2 linked regions of the Sus scrofa genome follow. The protein of the gene in region 2 binds, or shares a complex with, the protein of the main gene of each other region. Links are inferred from orthologs where the notes say so. Each region holds a gene or a part of one and is shown on either strand. Other genes may lie near its edges.

Region 1 (3,442 bases), on a different chromosome or scaffold from region 2:
AAATGTATAGGTCTGTTGGCCTATATCTTAACATCTCTGTTCCTGGTTCCAGTGAAACACTCCATTGCATTGGAAAAAAGAGGACAAGTTGACCCATAGCATTTAGCTATATGTTACTTTTTTGGGCACTGTTACACTGTTCCCTGTATAGTTTTTGTCTCCTACAAAAATGTATTAAGAGCAGGAACCATTTCATTTATTTTTAAATCTACCATAATGCTAGGCACCTGATTATTCAATAGGTATTTATTAAATGTATGTACTTACTAATTGATCTAACTCCCAGCTTCCAAAAATGGATTGTGGTCAGACTTGTTGAATTGATTGAATAAAGAGCAGCTTAATCTGTTGACACTCAGTGTGCAGCTTGCCCCACCCAACCTAAAAATTAATCGAATTAACTCATTTAACCCTCACTGCCTTCCTTTGGTTAGAATCTACTTTGTCTCTCTTGGATTTACCTGCATATACATTGTATGCCTCCTCTCCAAGGTCAAAACCTGCTCCGAGGTGGACGAGCCGTAGCTCCCCGAATGGGCTTAAGAAGAGGTGGTGTTCGAGGTCGTGGAGGTCCTGGGAGAGGGGGCCTAGGGCGTGGAGCTATGGGTCGTGGCGGAATCGGTGGTAGAGGTTAGTCAGCTACCAACTTCAGAGAATAGCACCCCCTTATTTTCTCTCCCTTCAAAACTCAGAGCCACCTTTCTGCACAGCTTCAAGTCATAGGCAGGCTTATTTGTTTGTCTTGTTTGTTTTATGAAACTGGCTTATTTTCTAAATTCACATGCTGGTAGTGTGAAAGTCTGTCATGGGTTTTCCAAGAACAGTCAGGTATGTGTTACAGAGCCAGGTTATAGTCAGTCTTTCAGGCTCTTGCAAATTTAAATTGTATCATTAAAGTGATAAAATTGTCAGTATGGGGTTTCATCTTTTTCTGTCCCTGGCCCCACCACCACACACCCCATCCCACAGCTCGTAACCCCACTTTTGGGCCTAAGATTTAGAGAAGAGAGAGATGTACAGAAACGAATCAGTTAAAGAGGATGGTGAGGCTTGGTGCTAGGTATTGACTCTGAAACCAAGTAAATTTAAGGTAAAGTTGGTGTCTGTGTGAAACCAGAGATGACTTTTTTTTTTTTTTTTTGATCAAGATTAGAAAAGCAAGATGGTATTGTGTCAGTTAACTAACTGACTCTTGTTGATAATCTCATCGTGAGACTTAGTGATACCTGTCACGTGACTTCATGGCCCAGATTGGAAAAGAGATTTTATGGTGTTGCTGTTAATACCAAATCTCCTGGGAATTTTCTGGCTTAAAGTTTTGTGGAAAACTCCCAACAACACCTGTTCAGGAAAAAAAATACATCCTTGTTGCCCCTGTGTATATTTGCTTTGATCTTTTTTAAAGTGTGTGGTGGGTCTTCCATAATTGATGACCTTGAAGCTGCCAGGGGATAATAACTACTGGGAAAGGAAATTTGATAACTGAGGGCTTGTTTTCTTCTCTCGCATTATATGTTGCTTGGCTTATTGAGTGAAGGGCAAACTAGTTTGGGTTTCAGGATGAAATAGCATGTTTCCAAATTATCTTGACTTGGTTTCTGAGAGAGACATCACAGGAATGGGAGTGGGGGAGGCTCTAAAGTAGCTTTTCAGAAAGCTGGGTGTGTTTTGTTAAGTGAATTGAAACCACCTCTCAGATAACCATATTTGTTAAAATGTGGATAGAATTGCAGATAGAAATGGCTGGCACTACTCAGAATGTTTTTCCCTAATCTCCCTTCATTGTTCCCATGTCAGAATAACTCCTCAGTCTCCTGACATGGGATCAGCTCATTAGGTTTGATAAGTTTGAGGAGAGACAAGCTAATTTTTCAGAAGGATGTCCAATAAAGTTTAATTAAAAACTTTACACTCATTTTTCTGTGCCCTTGTTACTTCCTCCCTGTTTTACTACATGGGGTTATCTATAGTGTGTTTGTATTTTAATTATAAACTTACAGTGAGTCTCAAGTTTTAGCTTCTATTTTAGAAGAGATTGAGTCAATTTTAACTTTCAGTTAAATATTTTCCCTCTGTTGATAGAATAAAAATTTTTAAATAGCATTTAGAGAGGAGCATGTAATAAGGGATTCATTATGTGTGCTTTCCATGTGTTGCTTTCTACCCAGTGTGTTTCCTGTTTTTCCAGATTTCTCCTCTTTGCCCTGCCCTTCAGTCTCTCTCAGCTAGGCCCCACTGCTCTGAGGGGCATTTACCATAGCACCTATTAAACCTACTTGTAACTATTTCTTCTTTTTCCCTTGGGCCAGGTCGGGGTATGATAGGCCGGGGAAGAGGGGGCTTTGGAGGCCGAGGCCGTGGACGTGGACGAGGGAGAGGTGCCCTTGCTCGCCCTGTACTGACCAAGGAGCAGCTGGACAACCAATTGGATGCATACATGTCGAAAACTAAAGGACACTTGGATGCTGAGTTGGATGCCTACATGGCACAGACAGATCCTGAAACCAATGATTGAAGCCTGCTCGCCCTCCTGTGAGACTCTTGTTCTAGTCACACATCTGTAAATAACCTTGAGATAACAGATGGGAAGAAACCTGATTGATGCTGGAAGGACCTATCATAATAGGCTGTGGACTGACTTGCCACAAGTTTGTGCATTTAGTGTGTTCCTTTTACTTTTTGATACTGTGTTGTATGAAACACTTTTTTCCTCTGACTTGGGTTTTGTTTTGTTGTATTGTTTGAGGTGGGTTTTGGTTTTTGATTTTTTTTTTTTTTTCCTTTGCCCAGACTTATCTTTGAACACAAATGTGTTGGCCTTATGGCTAGTATACCCTTTTCTCGCCTCTGCCTCCCCCTCACCTGTCACATACTTTGACATTCTAACATTTTTTCTGTTCATCTCTGTGCCCCCATGAAAAAGTCCCAGAAAGAGCCCTTCGGTGTTCCTCCTTAATGTGTAGGTTTATGAGATATAGTTTTGCATCATTTTTAATAGCCTCCTTTAGAGGCTTTTAAAATCTGGAGCTCAAAAATGCATTCTGCCACATTGATGTTTTTAGTATGGTAAATGAGGAACCTTGACATAGCTACAGGGCCACCTAACAGGTTACACCTGGTAGCTCTGATTTGATTATGGGTATCACAGTGTACATTTGCACCACATAAGCAATATGCTGGTTTGGTATGTGCACTTTCTACCCTGGAATGGGACTTAAAAACTTTCCTCTTGGCTTTGCATCATATCCAAGGGGTACTTTGGGGTTGGCTTACGCCTGCAAAAGGACAGAGGAAGGCCATTTGGTTTGGCAGATGCTTCAGAAGGGAAAGGGCTGGAAAATGATGGCAGGTGTCTGGTGGGAAGGATCAGAAAATATCCCTGCTGAGATGCTATTATCCCTGTGTTTATACTGAGACTAGTCTTGGGCTTCTCCATTCATTG
Region 2 (3,826 bases):
TTTTCATCTTTATTTGGTCGTTCTTCCTTCGGTTTTTCTTTACCATCTTTACCAAGTACTCTGGCCTCTGGAGTAGTAGCTGGAGTCTTTTCTTTTTTCTCTTTTTCTTTCTCTTTCCCTTTTTCTTTGTCATTTTCTTTAACAGTTTTGCTGCTTAAGAATAAAAACATCAGATTTTAAGACAAATGGTCATAAAATATATTCAATATATTATAAATCATAAACAGTTTCTTACTGGCTTCAAAATTCCAGAACTAAGAGGAGCCCTTTGAAAACTAAAGGACAACTTTAAGACCAGTAAAAAGGAAGCACTTCCTTATCCAGTAAATAATAACCACATTCACAAAGAGTAGATTATGAAGAGTGATTAGAGTGATATCAGACCTTTTTGTATATGTTCATAACCTTTCGATTACAAAGTAACAACCAAAAACTTTCCCTTAAGCCAACTAAGGGTGTTACTATCAGGAACTGGATTACTTGGCTGGATGGATCACTGGTCTAACTCAGTATAGGCTTTTCTTATATTAATTATCCTTACACAGACTTTCCACAGCAAACACTCAGTACTAAAAAAAATTTTAACTTCACTCCCCTGCATATTCCAACAAAGGAAATAAAGTCAGCCTCAGTATTATAAAAAACATGAGGATGGCAAACACATTATCAAAATAGTGGTATATACAAAATTTCTAAGTCCAAAATAAATGACTTTCATAGTAGTCAACTATCACTCTTTCATTCACGTCTACTGAGGCTAATCACATTAGAAATCAGGATTTTGACATACAGCACAGTGTTCCTACCTGTTAGAGCCACTATTTCCATTGCTTGAATTCCCTTTCGGTGTGGCATTAGAAGCTTTATTAACAGCTTTCACACCACACTGAGATCTCTCCCTTGATTTATCTGAAATAAAGGTAAGGTTTTATTTGACAAGCCCCTAGATATAAATAAACTACAATTTTATAGCAAAATCATTAGAGACAAAAGCAAGAAAAGGCTGATTATGTCTTAAGTTATATACTCCTACTTAGGGAATTAAAAAGGATTACTAATCAAGCATTTTACTTGTCATGTGATACAGAATATTTTAAACACTTTTGAAATAAAATGTATTATTTATAAATTTCTACAAATAAGCATACCAGTCTCCTCAGTACTGCTTTCGTCTGATTTAGATGCACTTCCTATCGATGAAGAAGAAGGCCCACCACCAGGCCCATTTTGTACACTGGCAACTGCATTCCTCGGAGGGGGGTCTTTGTGATGAAACTCATTTTCAGGTATCATGTATGACTTTCTACTTTTCAACTGCCCAGAGTAGCTGAAAGTCGCACAAAGTGTTTAAATATACAAATACAAATCAAAAAGCACAAACATGGGGTTTAAAAGAATAAAATTAGCAAGTTATTCACTCTGCTACTTGGTTTCAGAGAATGAAAAGTATTAATTTTCAGAAAATTCCTGAAGGTCTTTACTAAGAGCCCTAGATCATTTCTTAAAAACGAAAATTTCAATGTATACTAATCCTTCAACTAAAGTGCCTTTTTTTCACTACTGAAGATCTGCTAACTGATGATAAAATTACATTTCCTCCAAATCTAGACATATTATATGACTTTTGTAACTATCATCCAGTATAGACCGGAAGCTGATAATCAGAAGTGACAACTCTCACCAGCCTGTGGGAACATGATCGCATAATCTCCCATAATCTCCTGAAGTAAAGCAGAAGATAAACTTCAACACTGTAAAACATTTTAAAGTCTTCAGAATCCTTCTGTAATCTAGTCTCATAAATCACATTAAAGTATAATTTGTGTTACCCCATAGCCAATGCATATAGATCTGGCCTCTTCTCTTTTTCCTCTTGGCAGATTTTATGCACTCTTCTTTCCAAAGCCTGACCAAGATTCAAAACTTTTGGGTACCAAGGAAGTATTTTTGTTAGCACAATCAAGATATTCCTGATGTGAGTATATTCGCCTGTTTCAAGGCAATGTACCGATGCCTACAACAAACATTTTAAGATCTGTTACTATAAAAGGATAATTATGAAGAGAAAAAAACACCTTTAAGAAATACAATTTTTTTCTTACCTTGGTTAGTTTGTAATGCCATTTATGTACAACATGTCGAAAATTTTCATAATCTAACTGATCAGCTTTATTTCCACCATCAAATCCAGTTGCCCGTAATATAGTAAGAAATCCTGGATAATTCCCACATTCCTACAGGGGGAAAAAAAAAAGTCTGTCACTTTTAAAGAAAAATTCTGTCCTCCAAAATAGCAAAAGCTGAAACCTAAGTAGACTACATTAATGATTCCATGTGAAAACATGTATATTTGAATGATAGGTAGTTTTCACAGAAATATTCAGCTTACTCGATGGTATTAATTTGGAATGTCAGTTTGAGACAGGATTTTAAAAAAAATAGAGCATTTTAAAAATAACGAATGAATTATGCTTAAATTTTAAACACTGTTTTATAATTGAGCCTTAAACTCAGCTTCCCTTTTAAAACTGAACAACCCAAAGATTACCGGAAGTGGTCATTGTATAGATGGGTAAAATATAAGACTATTTGTTAGTCATACCTTTTCATATGTGGCTCTATCACTGTGCCACCTGGTCACAGTCTCTAACATGCAGCATAGGAATCTCCCATATCGACTAGCTTCATTTTCAGTACAGCTTGCAACTGTGTAAATTATATCAGAGAAAACCTACAGAAAACAATGTGTGAAAAATAAAAACAAATCAAGGTCAAAATTAGTTCAAAATATTAAAAGATTATGCAACAGCAAATCATAATAAACAGGTAAGTTTAGTCAAAGCACATCTTCCCCTTTTATATTCACAATTCCAGAGACCTTTAAAATGTTTGGCTTTTGTGAGGAAATAGTCCATTCATAAAGCAACAATAACAAAAAAAAAGCACTTTTATAAAAAAAAAGAAAGCTCATCTACAATGACAGAAGAAAAAACTATCATGATTATTACATTATAACTTCTTTTAAGAAAGACTTAGCCATAAATATTACTGGGGTTAAGGTGATAGTAAGCAGAGGCGAAGATGACAGAAACTAGAAATAGGCAGCTGACAGGCTGTAACATATATGACACTTTTAAACCACAAATGCAGTAATTTATTATTAAGAAAAAAAGCCAGATATAAAAATCTGTCAATGTGGCCATCTTGAAAAGCATCCCTGCTTTTATATATGTGCAAAAGTGTTAAGGGTTTTTCGTTGTTTTTTTGAGGGGGTGAAAGTTAAGAATGGAAAAGAGTTCTGCCTATTATGACAAACATATAAACCAGAATGCTGAGTTAACAGATTAACTAGGGGTGCTTATTATGTATCAGGCACTATTCAAAGTGCTTTTATGTGTATTGACTCACGTAATCCTCACAACAATCTTATGAAGCAGATACTATTATCCCATTTTACAGATAGAAAACTGAGGCACAGAGAGGTTAAAAAAAACTTGCCAAAGATCATATAGCTAGAAAGTAGCAGAGTTAGGATTCAAGTTCAGGCACTTGGCTCTCGAGTTCATGCTTTTAACCACACACACAATAATACCTCTATAGACTAAAATCTTTAGCTATCTTTGTGTGAGACTTTGTTTTTAAAGGTTGCAAAAAAAAGAACTTACTCGATCATAGCAAAGAAGTGTGGAAAAATTTGGAGTTTTCTGTTGATGTACCAATTCAACAAAACGAGCACAGTAAACAGCATCAATTGCTGAAAAAATACATCGAGGAAATATACACAGCTGTAGAAATTTTGTGATGGTCTCATTTTTGGTAGATTCTA

What was found.
Region 1: THOC2 (region 2) and CHTOP share a complex: the UniProt entries of both Homo sapiens proteins name them as parts of the transcription/export (TREX) complex. The link is inferred for Sus scrofa from reciprocal best matches to the Homo sapiens genes THOC2 and CHTOP.

Annotation. Positions count from the first base shown.
Region 1 is NC_010446.5:95,996,157-95,999,598, reverse strand, and holds the end of CHTOP (chromatin target of PRMT1 protein), read left to right. Parts: intron 1-492; coding exon 493-630; intron 631-2,309; coding exon 2,310-2,515; 3' UTR 2,516-2,715; downstream 2,716-3,442. UniProt on the Homo sapiens protein: Plays an important role in the ligand-dependent activation of estrogen receptor target genes. May play a role in the silencing of fetal globin genes.
Region 2 is NC_010461.5:101,190,316-101,194,141, forward strand, and holds part of THOC2 (THO complex subunit 2), read right to left. Parts: intron 3,824-3,826; coding exon 3,666-3,823; intron 2,732-3,665; coding exon 2,603-2,731; intron 2,235-2,602; coding exon 2,103-2,234; intron 2,015-2,102; coding exon 1,830-2,014; intron 1,328-1,829; coding exon 1,149-1,327; intron 910-1,148; coding exon 807-909; intron 154-806; coding exon 1-153. UniProt on the Homo sapiens protein: Component of the THO subcomplex of the TREX complex which is thought to couple mRNA transcription, processing and nuclear export, and which specifically associates with spliced mRNA and not with unspliced pre-mRNA.